Saccharomyces cerevisiae S288C: one gene and its partner. Changing the gene in region 2 together with the main gene of any one other region gives a genetic interaction. Each region holds a gene or a part of one and is shown on either strand. Other genes may lie near its edges.

Evidence for each region.
Region 1: mutations in YTA12 (region 2) and HKR1 are lethal when combined (synthetic lethality), as found in Saccharomyces cerevisiae (one large-scale study listed by BioGRID).

What each region holds. Positions count from the first base shown.
Region 1 is NC_001136.10:1,304,673-1,312,232, reverse strand, and holds HKR1 (Hkr1p), read right to left. Parts: upstream 5,967-7,560; coding exon 558-5,966; downstream 1-557. Other genes in the region: ARO80 (Aro80p), read right to left, coding at 1-193; RAD30 (DNA-directed DNA polymerase eta), read right to left, coding at 7,161-7,560.
Region 2 is NC_001145.3:445,105-450,016, forward strand, and holds YTA12 (m-AAA protease subunit YTA12), read right to left. Parts: upstream 2,983-4,912; coding exon 505-2,982; downstream 1-504. Other genes in the region: YMR090W (uncharacterized protein), read left to right, coding at 4,141-4,824.

The sequences.
Region 1 (7,560 bases), on a different chromosome or scaffold from region 2:
CCTTATTAGAGCTAAAAATACATTTTTTTAGCTCCCTTTTGCAACGTGCACACGGTGGGTCGTGTGGGTTATCAACCGGACCAAGATCACATTTCACCTTCCTTGATCTGCAGCTGATGCAAGCTTGGTAGGTTCTTCTCCGTTTTGGAAGTTCAAATGCTGCGTTTCCCGAAGGCCTTTTCTTAGCAGACATAGAGGATAAAGCAGTGCTTAATGTAACCTTATTATGCGTGGATCATATATTCCCACGACTAACTTGATATTATTGCTTTAATTTATTCTCGCTCTTTTTTCATTGGTTAGTTACTATCTTCATTTATCTCGGTTATCATCGGATAGAATAGTGTACTCTCGTTGATTCCGAAAATATTAAAAAAAAGCCTTCATGTATTACTAAGAAGGACTCATAAAATTACAAATGCAATACTTGATGATATATATAATAATAGTAATGGCGTGAGCCTATGTGTATTAATGGGTATCAATTTTTGTGATCATCTTTTGTTGCAAGCGCCCCTTCCAGCAGCGTTTATTGCACAGTCAATAATCATTTTTCGCTATATTTTTGTCGTTTGATGGTTCTGTTGTTTTATAACTTTCGACATTCTCTTATAAAGTTCTTCGTCTAAAGCATCCAGCTCCTCGATATGTACATCTGAAACACTACCATTGTCGTCAATATCCTCTATTTCTAAATCTTCAAGATTAGAGAAAAGAGTCTGATTTGGCTTTGGTAGTGAAGATTCTGTGTAGCGTAATGTGTGAAGTTTAATCGAATTTGTATGAAGGGGTGTGGTATAAGCGGTACTTGGCAAACATGTCTGACTCCCTGTAGAAAACTCATTCGTAATTTGATTTCCAGTATCGGGATCATCTGTAGTACATGATTCAGTGCCTAGTCCATGAAGTTTAGTTTCGCACAAATGGTTCTTGTTATAGTTTTCAATAACTTCGTCTGGCAAGTGAAAACTGTTTGACTCTTCATTGTCAGAATAACTGTCGTATAATCGAATATCACCATTTTCATCAACATCTAGAATGCCTGATATGGACTCCTCATCATTCAAGAAGGCTTCCGTAGCATCTTGGTTTTTGTCATACACGCAGTCTCTTACTATACTGTCTATTCCCGAACCATCATCCCCATTGGTTTGATCAAAATCGAGGGGGATTGCGTCCCTGTACAATAGATCACCGTCATCATTAATGGTATAATGTAATCTGTGAATAGTATTATAGACTGTGTTTTCGCCAGTCACAATATAATGATCATCTACCGCAGAGTAAACACTTTCATTTTCAGATTCTGGCGGCTTTTCATTATAAACTTGGTTTCCAGAAGAAGAGCGGGAAAGCTCGGTACTTTCAAGTTCCCTCTCATTATTGAGGCTTTTCCCTATGCAGTTCCTTGGGTGTCTTTTCAATAATATATTTCTATGACGGAAAGCAAAAAATGCAACGAATAACCACAAGAGTACGCCAATAGTTAAAACAATCAAAAAGATGATTATTTTTACAGCATACTTTCCTGCAGATGCAGAATCTGTGAATGAATTGATAAAGTCATCCAAAGCTCCATACTTGTAAGTTCCATCTATGTTTTGGGAATTTCCTTTTGAAGAATCCAAGACGCTTGATGAGGTTAAACTAGGGACATAACCACCATCTCCAGAGCCATATAACGTCAATCCCCCTAATGGGATCCCACTATCTATTAGACCAGCTAAACTTCGCAGTGGGGTTTGAGGATTGCTATAAAGAGTCGAATTTTCATCAAGGATTAATTGCTGAAGATATGTTACGGCTTCTGTTGGAAAATATACCTCTGCAACTGATACAATGTATGCCTTAGAAGAGTCTACCATGGGAACAATCTTTTTCACCGCTATTGAGGATGTGTCGACTTGTGGAGGATGTAAGTCCTCGGTTGACTTCGTGGCATTTTTTTTCTGCTGGTTTTTTTTTTTCTTGACAACTGATAATGATGATATGGATTTTGGGGAAAGGGTAGTTGTGCTGCTCCCAGACCGGTATGAAAGAATAAAAGTGGATAATTCCCCAATACTATTGTCCAGTTCTGATGAGGTGTTTGAAAAGGGATACTTCAAAACGAGAGGTAAAAAGTTGAAGATTTGAGCCGAAGATAATGGATTTTGAACCAAAAATACATAATTCAAAGCGGCCGTGAATCCGATGGTAATTAAAGTGTGGTTAATGGGTTCCGATACAGCGACGGCCGGTTCAATTGCATTGGGAAGTGAACCAGTGATTGACGGATTGAATGATGCGGTAGTGGGGCCCGTTTCGGATGATTCCACTATAATAGCGGTAGGTAACCATGCGTAACTATTTGGAGAGGGGTACGGAGTAGTAGGATAGGTAGACAAGGCAGGGGCTGTGAATACTGAATTAGTGCTTGCCTGAGTTTGAACTGCAGTCGTAGCAGGTCCAATTGAGATTTTTGTAAAAGACCGAGAATATGACCCACTGGTTTCAGAAGAACTTTTGTATTGCGTCTTTGTTGTGGTTAAGCCGGTTTCCTCGCCATTTTCGCCCATGGTTTTCGATACTTTCCTGGATAAACTTTTCGAATCAACCTTTGTATTTGTGGAGAGCGATGGGTTAGATGAAATATGTGAACTTTGTAAAGAACCTACAGAATTCCTCCCTTCGGATTTTTCAGACTGACTATTTGCTCGTAATGTTGATGTAAAGCTTGTGATTCTTTCTTGTGTGTTTGAAACAGATTTACTTGCAGGTATTGTTTCTTTTGAAAGTTTTATTGAAGATATTGATGAGGATGAGTAGCCAAATGAGGTTGCACTTTTTGACGAATCGACAAAGTTATGTGATAGTCCAGTCACAGAATTATGAGAACTTGGAATAGATAAAGAATATGCGTGCGAGCTACTTGAAATTGTAGTTATCTCTGTAGGAGTAGCGGAAAACTTTTCATTGTCTGGTTTCGCCGCGGAAGATGTGTATAGGAAATTCGAAACAACTGTGGATCTGCCACTGGTCTCAGTATTCTTGTTCGCCGTATCGTATGGATTTTTTGTACTGCTAGACAGCTGGCTCTGTAGTGAACTAATTTTAGCTGAGTTTTTGGGGCTTGTTATGCTTGCTTGGGTCGATGAAATTATCAGAGAAGTTTCAACCAAATTCGAAGCTGAAGGGTTGAAAACGGAAAGCGCGCTTGAATGTATTTCGTCATTTAAAGTTGAGCTTGTAGAAATTTGCTGAGAGACTATACTTTGGATTGCCATCGAAGTCTGCAGTAAGAAATCCGTAATCCTGGACAATGTGCTATGTATTTGAGTTGGTGCTATTGTGGATGTTGTTGAGTACCGCTCAGAAGAAAATTCAAACGCATAAGCAGATGAAAAGTATGTGTAAGTAGAAGAGGTGGGTAAAGAAGTAGATGGGGAAGGTGAAAATTCATATGTAGCAATGGACGATCTGGAAGCAGAAGATGATAGAGAGTAAACAATATCATATGGAGAGGATGAGGAAGTAGATGACATGGCGACAGAAGCAGAAGGTGAAGGCGTGTAACCGGATGATATGGCAGCAAAAGTTGATGGAGAGTAAACAATATCATATGGAGAGGATGTGGAAGTAGATGACAGGACAACAAGAGCCGATGGTGAAGACGTGTACGTCGAGGATACTGCAACAGGTGCCGATGGTGAAGACGTGTACGTTGAGGATATTGCAGCAGGTGCTGATGGTGAAGACGTGTACGTCGAGGATACTGCAACGGGTGCCGATGGTGAAGACGTGTACGTTGAGGATATTGCAGCAGGTGCTGATGGTGAAGACGTGTACGTCGAGGATACTGCAACGGGTGCCGATGGTGAAGACGTGTACGTTGAGGATATTGCAGCAGGTGCTGATGGTGAAGACGTGTACGTCGAGGATACTGCAACGGGTACTGATGGTGAAGACGTGTACGTTGAGGATATTGCAGCAGGTGCTGATGGTGAAGACGTGTACGTCGAGGATACTGCAACGGGTACTGATGGTGAAGACGTGTACGTTGAGGATATTGCAGCAGGTGCTGATGGTGAAGACGTGTACGTCGAGGATACTGCAACGGGTGCCGATGGTGAAGACGTGTACGTTGAGGATATTGCAGCAGGTGCTGATGGTGAAGACGTGTACGTCGAGGATACTGCAACAGGTACCGATGGTGAAGACGTGTACGTTGAGGATATTGCAACAGGTGCTGATGGTGAAGACGTGTACGTCGAGGATACTGCAACAGGTGCCGATGGTGAAGACGTGTACGTTGAGGATATTGCAGCAGGTGCTGATGGTGAAGACGTGTACGTCGAGGATACTGCAACAGGTGCCGATGGTGAAGACGTGTACGTTGAGGATATTGCAGCAGGTGCCGATGGTGAAGACGTGTACGTCGAGGATACTGCAACAGGTGCCGATGGTGAAGACGTGTACGTTGAGGATATTGCAGCAGGTGCTGATGGTGAAGACGTGTACGTCGAGGATACTGCAACGGGTACTGATGGTGAAGACGCATAGGCAGAAGGTACTACAACAGAAGCCGATGGTGAAGACGTGTACGTCGAGGATACTGCAACGGGTACTGATGAGAAAGATATGTAAGCAGATGGAAAAGGAGCAACGCCAAAGTGAGAGGAAACGGATGCAGATAAGGATGGGGAAGAATAAAGGGAAGAAGAAATATAAGTCGACGAGGAAGTCGCATGAACAAAGGTTGAATGGACAGAGCTGTATGGCACTGTATTGGTGCTTGAAGTTGAAACAACAGTATCCGAAGCACTGCTAACTATAAAGTTTGTCGTGGAAATCGAAGATACTGCGAAAGTGTTAGATTCACGGCTTACACCTTGACTTGCCTCTGAAGATGTTTCGGCAGTGGAAGAAGTGGCCGGGCGATCGACAATCAGTTCTTGGTCAGGATAGTTGCCAGCACTTAAGTCATAATATGTGGAAAGCTCTACTTCACTCATACTAAAACTATCAATTGATGTAGTTTGCGTTATGCTAGAGGGCCGGGATACTCCAACAGCCACTCGGCTGCTCTCAGAGGTTTCAGTTGACGTTGTTTGGCTATAAGAAGATGAAAAGCTGGTAATGGGGGAGCTAGATGTCTTGTCTGCAGTCGACTCCCCTCCAGAATAGACGGTTGAACTTGAACTGTAACTTTCAGAGAGCTGGGATTTGCTCATGGCATATTCTTCTTCGACTGAATTTTCAAACGATACAGTGTTGGAAAAATCTGTTTGTGTTGATTCACTACTAAAGCCATCTATTGTTGAAGCTGCCGTTATGCTGGAGATTTGTGAAACTCTGGTTACCATTTGTGCAATTCTCGTTGTTTCACTGATACTGGAAGTTTGAGCCAATGTGCCTTCTTCTTTGGAAATTTGAGAATCTGTGGTTATTATTGGACTTATTTCCCTCGGTACCGCTGAACTATCGGATGTGGATATTATTACGCTACTTGAGGATTCCGAGGAGGTTGTATCGCTATCTGACTCCGCCACGGACTTCGGATTGTGACTAAGCGTTTGTGATATTTGTGATTCATCGCTATAGGACTGCAAAGGGGTGGGTACAATGCTACTACTTGGTGTCGCTATTTCCGTAGACTTTTTTACTGATGACATCGTGTCAGAAGTTTGCGTTGTCGTCGTCACACTAATATACTGGCTGGACGTACCAGTTTCTTGTTCATCCATTATTGTTGTGCTTCCACTTTCACCATATTGGCCAGCCATTGTGGTGGTTTCAGAGCTTGATGTTATTGCATTCTCTTTGTTGCTAGATCCGGTACTGGATATCGCGGATGTTGAATATGAGGGTGTGCTTTCTATTCCATTATTGTATGAAGTTGAATATATTGTATCGTTACTATAGGCCTCGATTGCATTTAACAATGACACCAGGAGTAAAATTTTTTTTATTTTCAATGAGACCATCTTTATACATTCTCTGTTTCTGACTGTTGACTGCGTCAGTTGAGGAAAAAGATATCGCAAAAATTTCAATAATGTGGGTGCGGAATCAGTTAGTTACTGGTTAAAGAATGATAATAAAATTGATGATATGGCAATTGATTATAAACGGAAAATGTTTACAAACAAAGTTAGTGCTCTAAGTTGTAAACTTTCTCTTGATTACAATGCAGGAAGCAGTACAGCGAAATATCCAAACGAATGAAATGACTACAGGTGCCTACGAGGGACACTGCTTTTAAATCGCTGTAACTACTGTCTTTGAATAAGCCCTCCAATTAACTAATCTAAATATTCCTAAATTAGTTAAAAAAATTTTCTGCAACCAAACGGGTCAGAAAGCGAAATATCTTTAGCGCGTTGTGGAAAAGAACAAACTGCTATTAATAGAAAGTCTAAGACTTTTGATAATAAGAAACGAATACTTGAGTGATAACGTTGTTACACCTTTTAAAGAAAAAAACAAAAGAAATTGACTGACAAATTTTGTTGCTACCAAATAAAAACATTAAAAATAACGACAACTGCAGGACTCGAACCTGCGCGGGCCAAAGCCCAAAAGATTTCTAATCTTTCGCCTTAACCACTCGGCCAAGTTGCCTTAATTTGTATTGTAATCTGGTCTTCAGAAGAGTAATGATAGTGTATAACTTTTTTATGATGTATAATATTACTTGCATTATTATTCTTCAGATTTGTTTTTAAACAGCGTTACTTTGTAACATGAGATTGTGTGTATCAAACCAATTCCTGCTTTAAACGCATCTAATTGATTAAGTCCCCTGAACAATCAGCTGAGGTCAGAGATCATGCTTCCAGCATTCATTATCACATGGATCTTATATATTATGAAGGTATGTAATATTCTGTGAGTCATGTCTACAAAAATAAATTATAACAAGTTGTTTCTTTTTTATAGACTTCCAAATCTCTATCAAGAAATCCTAGTATGAATATTGTACATAATGTTATCACTTTGATCAAAAGCGAAGTCTCAAAAGTCATCAGTCGGTATTTTCCGATCATAAGATATTAAAGGTACTTCGTTCTTCTTATCAACAAAACCTGGCGCCCGTGAATCATTTAGAAATTTTGGAAAAGCAATATTATCAGGACGTTTTAGTTGCTGAAGCCATATAATTGTCTATTTGGAATAGGTCATTTTTTTCTTGTAAAAAATGATAAGATGTTTTTGGAAGATGTAACTTGTTTCTTCTGAGGTGTGGCAGTATGTTGTGAGTTTGGTCTTTTCCGTGAAAACAACAATCTTTTTTCCCCGAAAGAAAGGTTTTTGGATGATTCTTCAGCACCATTTAAGCCTTCCGACAGTTTCAATGCTAAATGATAGTCTGCGTGCTCTTGAAGAGCCTTCTGGTCTGTAAAAGTCACCTGGTATTTACAACATTCCAACTTCGGAGTTTTCTCGTCAGCTTTCGAGCTGGTAGTTTTTTCCTCATCTTCCTTGCCTGCTGAGCTTTTGAAAGTATGGACCTGATTGCCAAACATATCTACAACAGTTTTTTGTAAATCTATAATATCGAAATTAGTAATTGTCATA
Region 2 (4,912 bases):
TTCTTGTTCCCTCAACAACTAGGGCTCTGAGCTTAGTGAAGAACAAAGAGGAGACAAAAAACAAAATAATTCGATAGAAAAAAATCGCTGCTGTATTCTTATATTTTGGGAATGTGGGTTGGCCTAAAGTGGAACCGCATGCTCTTCTCTATCACCGGCCCTTAAGATGACCTACGTTTATTGTCGGACAGATATCATCCAACAAAACGACGCAGTGAAAAAGTGTATCATGCGAATACTGAAGATAAGATAGGCTAAGCCGTGGAATCAGCGATAAAAAAAAGATCGCGTGTATTAACCAATGACAGCCTCACAGAAGCGCTTTGATCATATATAGATATAGGTGCATTTATACACGTATATATATTTACATGTTTTCAGATTAGATTATATGGTAAATACGTGACAGTGTTCTACCGAAAAAGAAAGATGTCTGGCTTTCAATAAAATAAGCAAGATATGTAGAACAGTCTTCCTCCATTTCTTTGTATTGTGAAATATCAATCAGTTTGTAGATGGCTTAGGCTCATTACGTTTTTCGTTTTTTTCTTCTTCCTTCCTGATTTTTTCCGTTTCGTAATCGTTCAAGTACTTATCAAAAGCATCATTCCTTTCTGGGAAAGGGCGCTTACCAAGTAAATCAATCATATCTTCTCTTGTCAAAACTTCTTTTTTCAGTAGTACTTGAGCAATCTTCTCTACATCTTCTGCTTTTTCTTTAAGCAGCTTTGTACATCTGTCATGGCATTCTTGGACGATTCTGTATACTTCGGAATCAATAATGTCACCTGTCTCGTCCGAAAATGGTTTTGTCAAATCGCTATCATCTCTCTTCTGGTAATTGACCCAGCCAATTTTATCACTCATGCCTAATTCTGTGACCATTGCCGTGGCCATGCTAGTAACTTTTTTGAAGTCATCAGATGCGCCACTTGTAACTGATGGGAAATGTAATTCTTCAGAAACTCTTCCACCCAGAGACATGGTCATTCTGTCCTTAAGTTGCTGTTCAGTTAGTAAGAAGATATCACCTGGCAAATACTGTGCATAACCAAGGGCGCCCTGGCCACGTGGAATAATACTGACTTTCAGAAGAGGATCTGCGTATTTTAAGTACCATCCACATACAGCATGACCAGCCTCGTGGTAAGCCACTACTTTCTTCTCTTCGGGAGAGAGTAGCTTGGATTTGCGTTCCACTCCACCGATGACTCTTTCGATAGCTTGTTCAAAATGATTCAATTTTACTGCATCTTCATCACTTCTAGCAGCAATCAAGGCGGCCTCGTTACAAACGTTGGCAATATCAGCACCAGAAAAGCCTGGCGTCAAAGCCGCTAATCTATTTTTCAAATCAAAAATTTCCCCGGCAAGTTTCAAATGATGTAAATGAACAGCAAAAATGGCTTTTCTACCCTCAAGTTCGGGCTTGTCGATATTGATATGCCTGTCAAATCTACCAGGCCTTAATAATGCTTTATCGAGAATATCGGGTCTATTGGTACCAGCTAAAACAACAACGTGGTCAGCTGGAGTGAAACCATCCATTTCTACTAACATTTGATTTAGCGTGTTCTCTCTCTCATCATTGGCACCTGAAAAATTACCCTTTTGTCTTGCTTTTCCTATAGCATCAATTTCGTCAATAAACACAATTGAGGGTGCATTTTCTCTTGCAGTTTTGAACAAATCTCTTACTCTTGCTGCACCAACACCAACAAACATTTCTACAAATTCTGAACCAGAAACAAAATAAAACGGAACACCGGCTTCACCTGCTGTTGCCTTTGCAAGCAAAGTTTTACCGGTACCTGGTGGACCAGATAGAATCGCACCTCTAGGAATTTTAGCTCCCATTTTTTCATAACGAGAAGGTTCTTTCAAGAAGCTAACAAACTCCATAATTTCTTCCTTAGCCTCATCGCATCCGGCAACGTCCTTGAACTTGATCTTAACGTCTGTTTCAGTGTTAAATTTTTTAGCCTTAGAACGACTCAGACCAAATATGCCTCCACGGCTACCGCCCGCTGCTTGTGCCGATCTTCTTGTCAACCAAATAATACCTGCAATCATTAAAACAGTTGGCAAAATTTGGAACATAGCTTTAGCCCAATTGCCTTCTTGAACATATAGTACAGGTATTCTGAAATCCTTATCAATGTCCAGTTCGTCCTGTGCTTTCTGAAGTTTGTGTTCGAAGCTATCAATTGAACCAATTGTGAAATAATAGAAGTTGCGACCGTAATTGTCGGCTTGGTTTTTTCCGTTGTCATTTAACATCACTTTCACCATGGACTTGTTGACAACAATCAACTTCGCAACATAACCTTTTGCCAATAGTTTCTCTCTAAAATCCTGCCACGTTATCTCACTTTGCTCTTCCAAACTGTTGAGGAGATCCAATAAAAACGAAAGGAGGAAAAAAGTTAGTCCTATCTGGAATAAGTTAACATTTTTCGATACAGGATTACTAGGATCATTTAGAGGTGGTTTTGGGGGAGGAGGTGGTGGTGGCGGTGGAATATTTCTGCTATTGTTACCTTCAAAGTAGCCCTGCTCTTTTGTTCTGTTTGACTTGGCTTTTGAAGGACCATTTTCCTCCTCTTTTTCCTTTCTTTCTTCTTGAATTCTGTTAGATTCTTGTTTCAATACAGCATCTTCTAAACGCCTAATACTTTCATCAATTTTGCGTTTCTGTTCTTTCCAGTTAGCCGGTATAGTATTATTTTTAGTTTGTTCGATATATTTTTCTACTTGTTTTCTTATTGCTTCAACCTCTTCGTCTGTGGGAATTTCTTTGTTAAGTTTAGCGTCTTCGTTATTGTCCTCGTTCTTGTTACCGCTCTTATTCTCTTGCAGCCTATTGAGTAGCCGATATTGAGTATGTAAACTCTTGATATGGGTCAAGCCGTAATAGGACCGGAAGCGAACGGGCCTTCTAACTACCTTAGTAGCAATTCTTGACCAAGAAAGTAGCAACATTAGTACTCTTTCTAACTTTAAAGTTGCTTGCCAAGACTCTTGAGTGTGCTATATTGTATTCGTTGGCAGCTCAAAATCTTTCCTTTAAAACTATAGTGGCAAAAGTTAGAGATCGTTTTCACGAGAAAATGATGGGGAAAAATGGACCAAAAGACAAATGTATTCACAATGTGACACCAGATAGCTTGGTGATTAGTATATAGATCTTACAGGACACCGAATAATACCAGAAGGGACTTTCTTATTGAACGAACCGATATGTGCATGCGTTATCCTATAAAGAAATACGTCCGGATGGGATATTCAAACAAGACGCCGGACAAAATAATTCACACATATGGAGGATGTTACGTACATGAGCACAAGACGAACCGTACAAAGAGAAACATACATCATCACTCAGACGATAAGATCATAAATTAGCAGATGACACTTTAGTTTATTCTCTTTGGTAGGTTTTCTACAATCAGAATTATCTAACGGCGAACTTCTGTAGGCAGAGTTTTCGCATCGCCCAATGAGATAATGCACTTTCAAAAGACCACGCTGCACTTGCATCAAATTGGTTTACGAAAGAGCAAAGTCGAGGATTAGCACATTCCGTGTGCCCATACGTTACCATTTTTGACAAAGTTGGCAACATCAAGCGAGACATATCTACAAATATACGTATCAGAATTGTACCCGAAGTATTTCTGGTTATATTCGTTGCTAACCATTTTAACGTATTCAGCCTAGTAGCCTGCAAGAACTATTAATACAAATCGTGAAACAGAAGTTCTTTGAGTTAAAGTACAAAGACAGACAACAGCCCTCGGTGAACCTGTTGGTGTGTGTTTCCTGTATCACAAAACACAAGCGAGCAAAGAAATACGACGTTATAGCTTTTAATAATACGACGAGACAATGTTAGTGGCCGTAATAACTTTCCAACAAAAGTACTTTCCAAACTTTGCTGTTACCTCTGTGATTGTTTAGTACGAAAATTGTATCGCGCTGTCAACAGCAAGGGGCTGCAAGTATTACGTAAGGGTACACTCGAAGTAGGGATATATATTTAAAGTCCCATCGTGACGCTCATAATAGGATACTTTCCCTCCAAATAAAAATTCATTGAAGTTATATCATCGGTATTCATATATTATTGACTTAACAGCCATGTCTCCTATGAAAGTTGCGGTTGTCGGTGCCAGTGGTAAAGTTGGACGTTTATTGATAAACCAATTGAAGGCCAACGATAGTTTCTCAACACCATTAGCGATTGTTAGAACACAGGATCAAGTCAATTATTTCAAGAATGAAGTAGGTGTTGATGCTAGTTTGACAGATATAGAAAACGCGTCCGTTAGTGAGATCACAGACGCTATTAAGGCTTATGATGCCGTGGTCTTTAGCGCCGGTGCGGGTGGTAAAGGAATGGAAAGAATTTTCACGGTTGATCTGGATGGCTGTATCAAAGTTGTTGAAGCATGCGAAAAGGCTGGTATCAAAAGGTTCGTTGTTGTTTCAGCGCTCAAGGCGGAGGATAGAGATTTTTGGTATAACATTAAGGGTTTGCGTGAATACTATATTGCAAAGAGATCTGCTGATCGTGAGGTTAGAAACTCTAATTTGGATTACACTATTTTACAGCCTGGATCGTTGGAACTAAATAAAGGTACCGGTCTTTTGCAACCCCTTGACAAATTAGAAGAGAAGGCTTCTGTTAACTACTCCATTAACAGGGAGGATGTAGCTTCTTTTATTGTGGAAAGCTTGCTACATCCAAATGCAACAGTGAAAAAAACCATTTCGTTGGTAAATGGCAACGAGCCAATGGAAAAATTCATTCAAAGTTTGTAGATCAACCTATTTACGCGTGAAATGCATATGTAGATGAATAGTCAAGAAAAGAAAAAGAAAGTGAGAATATATGAATTTTTTTACCTTG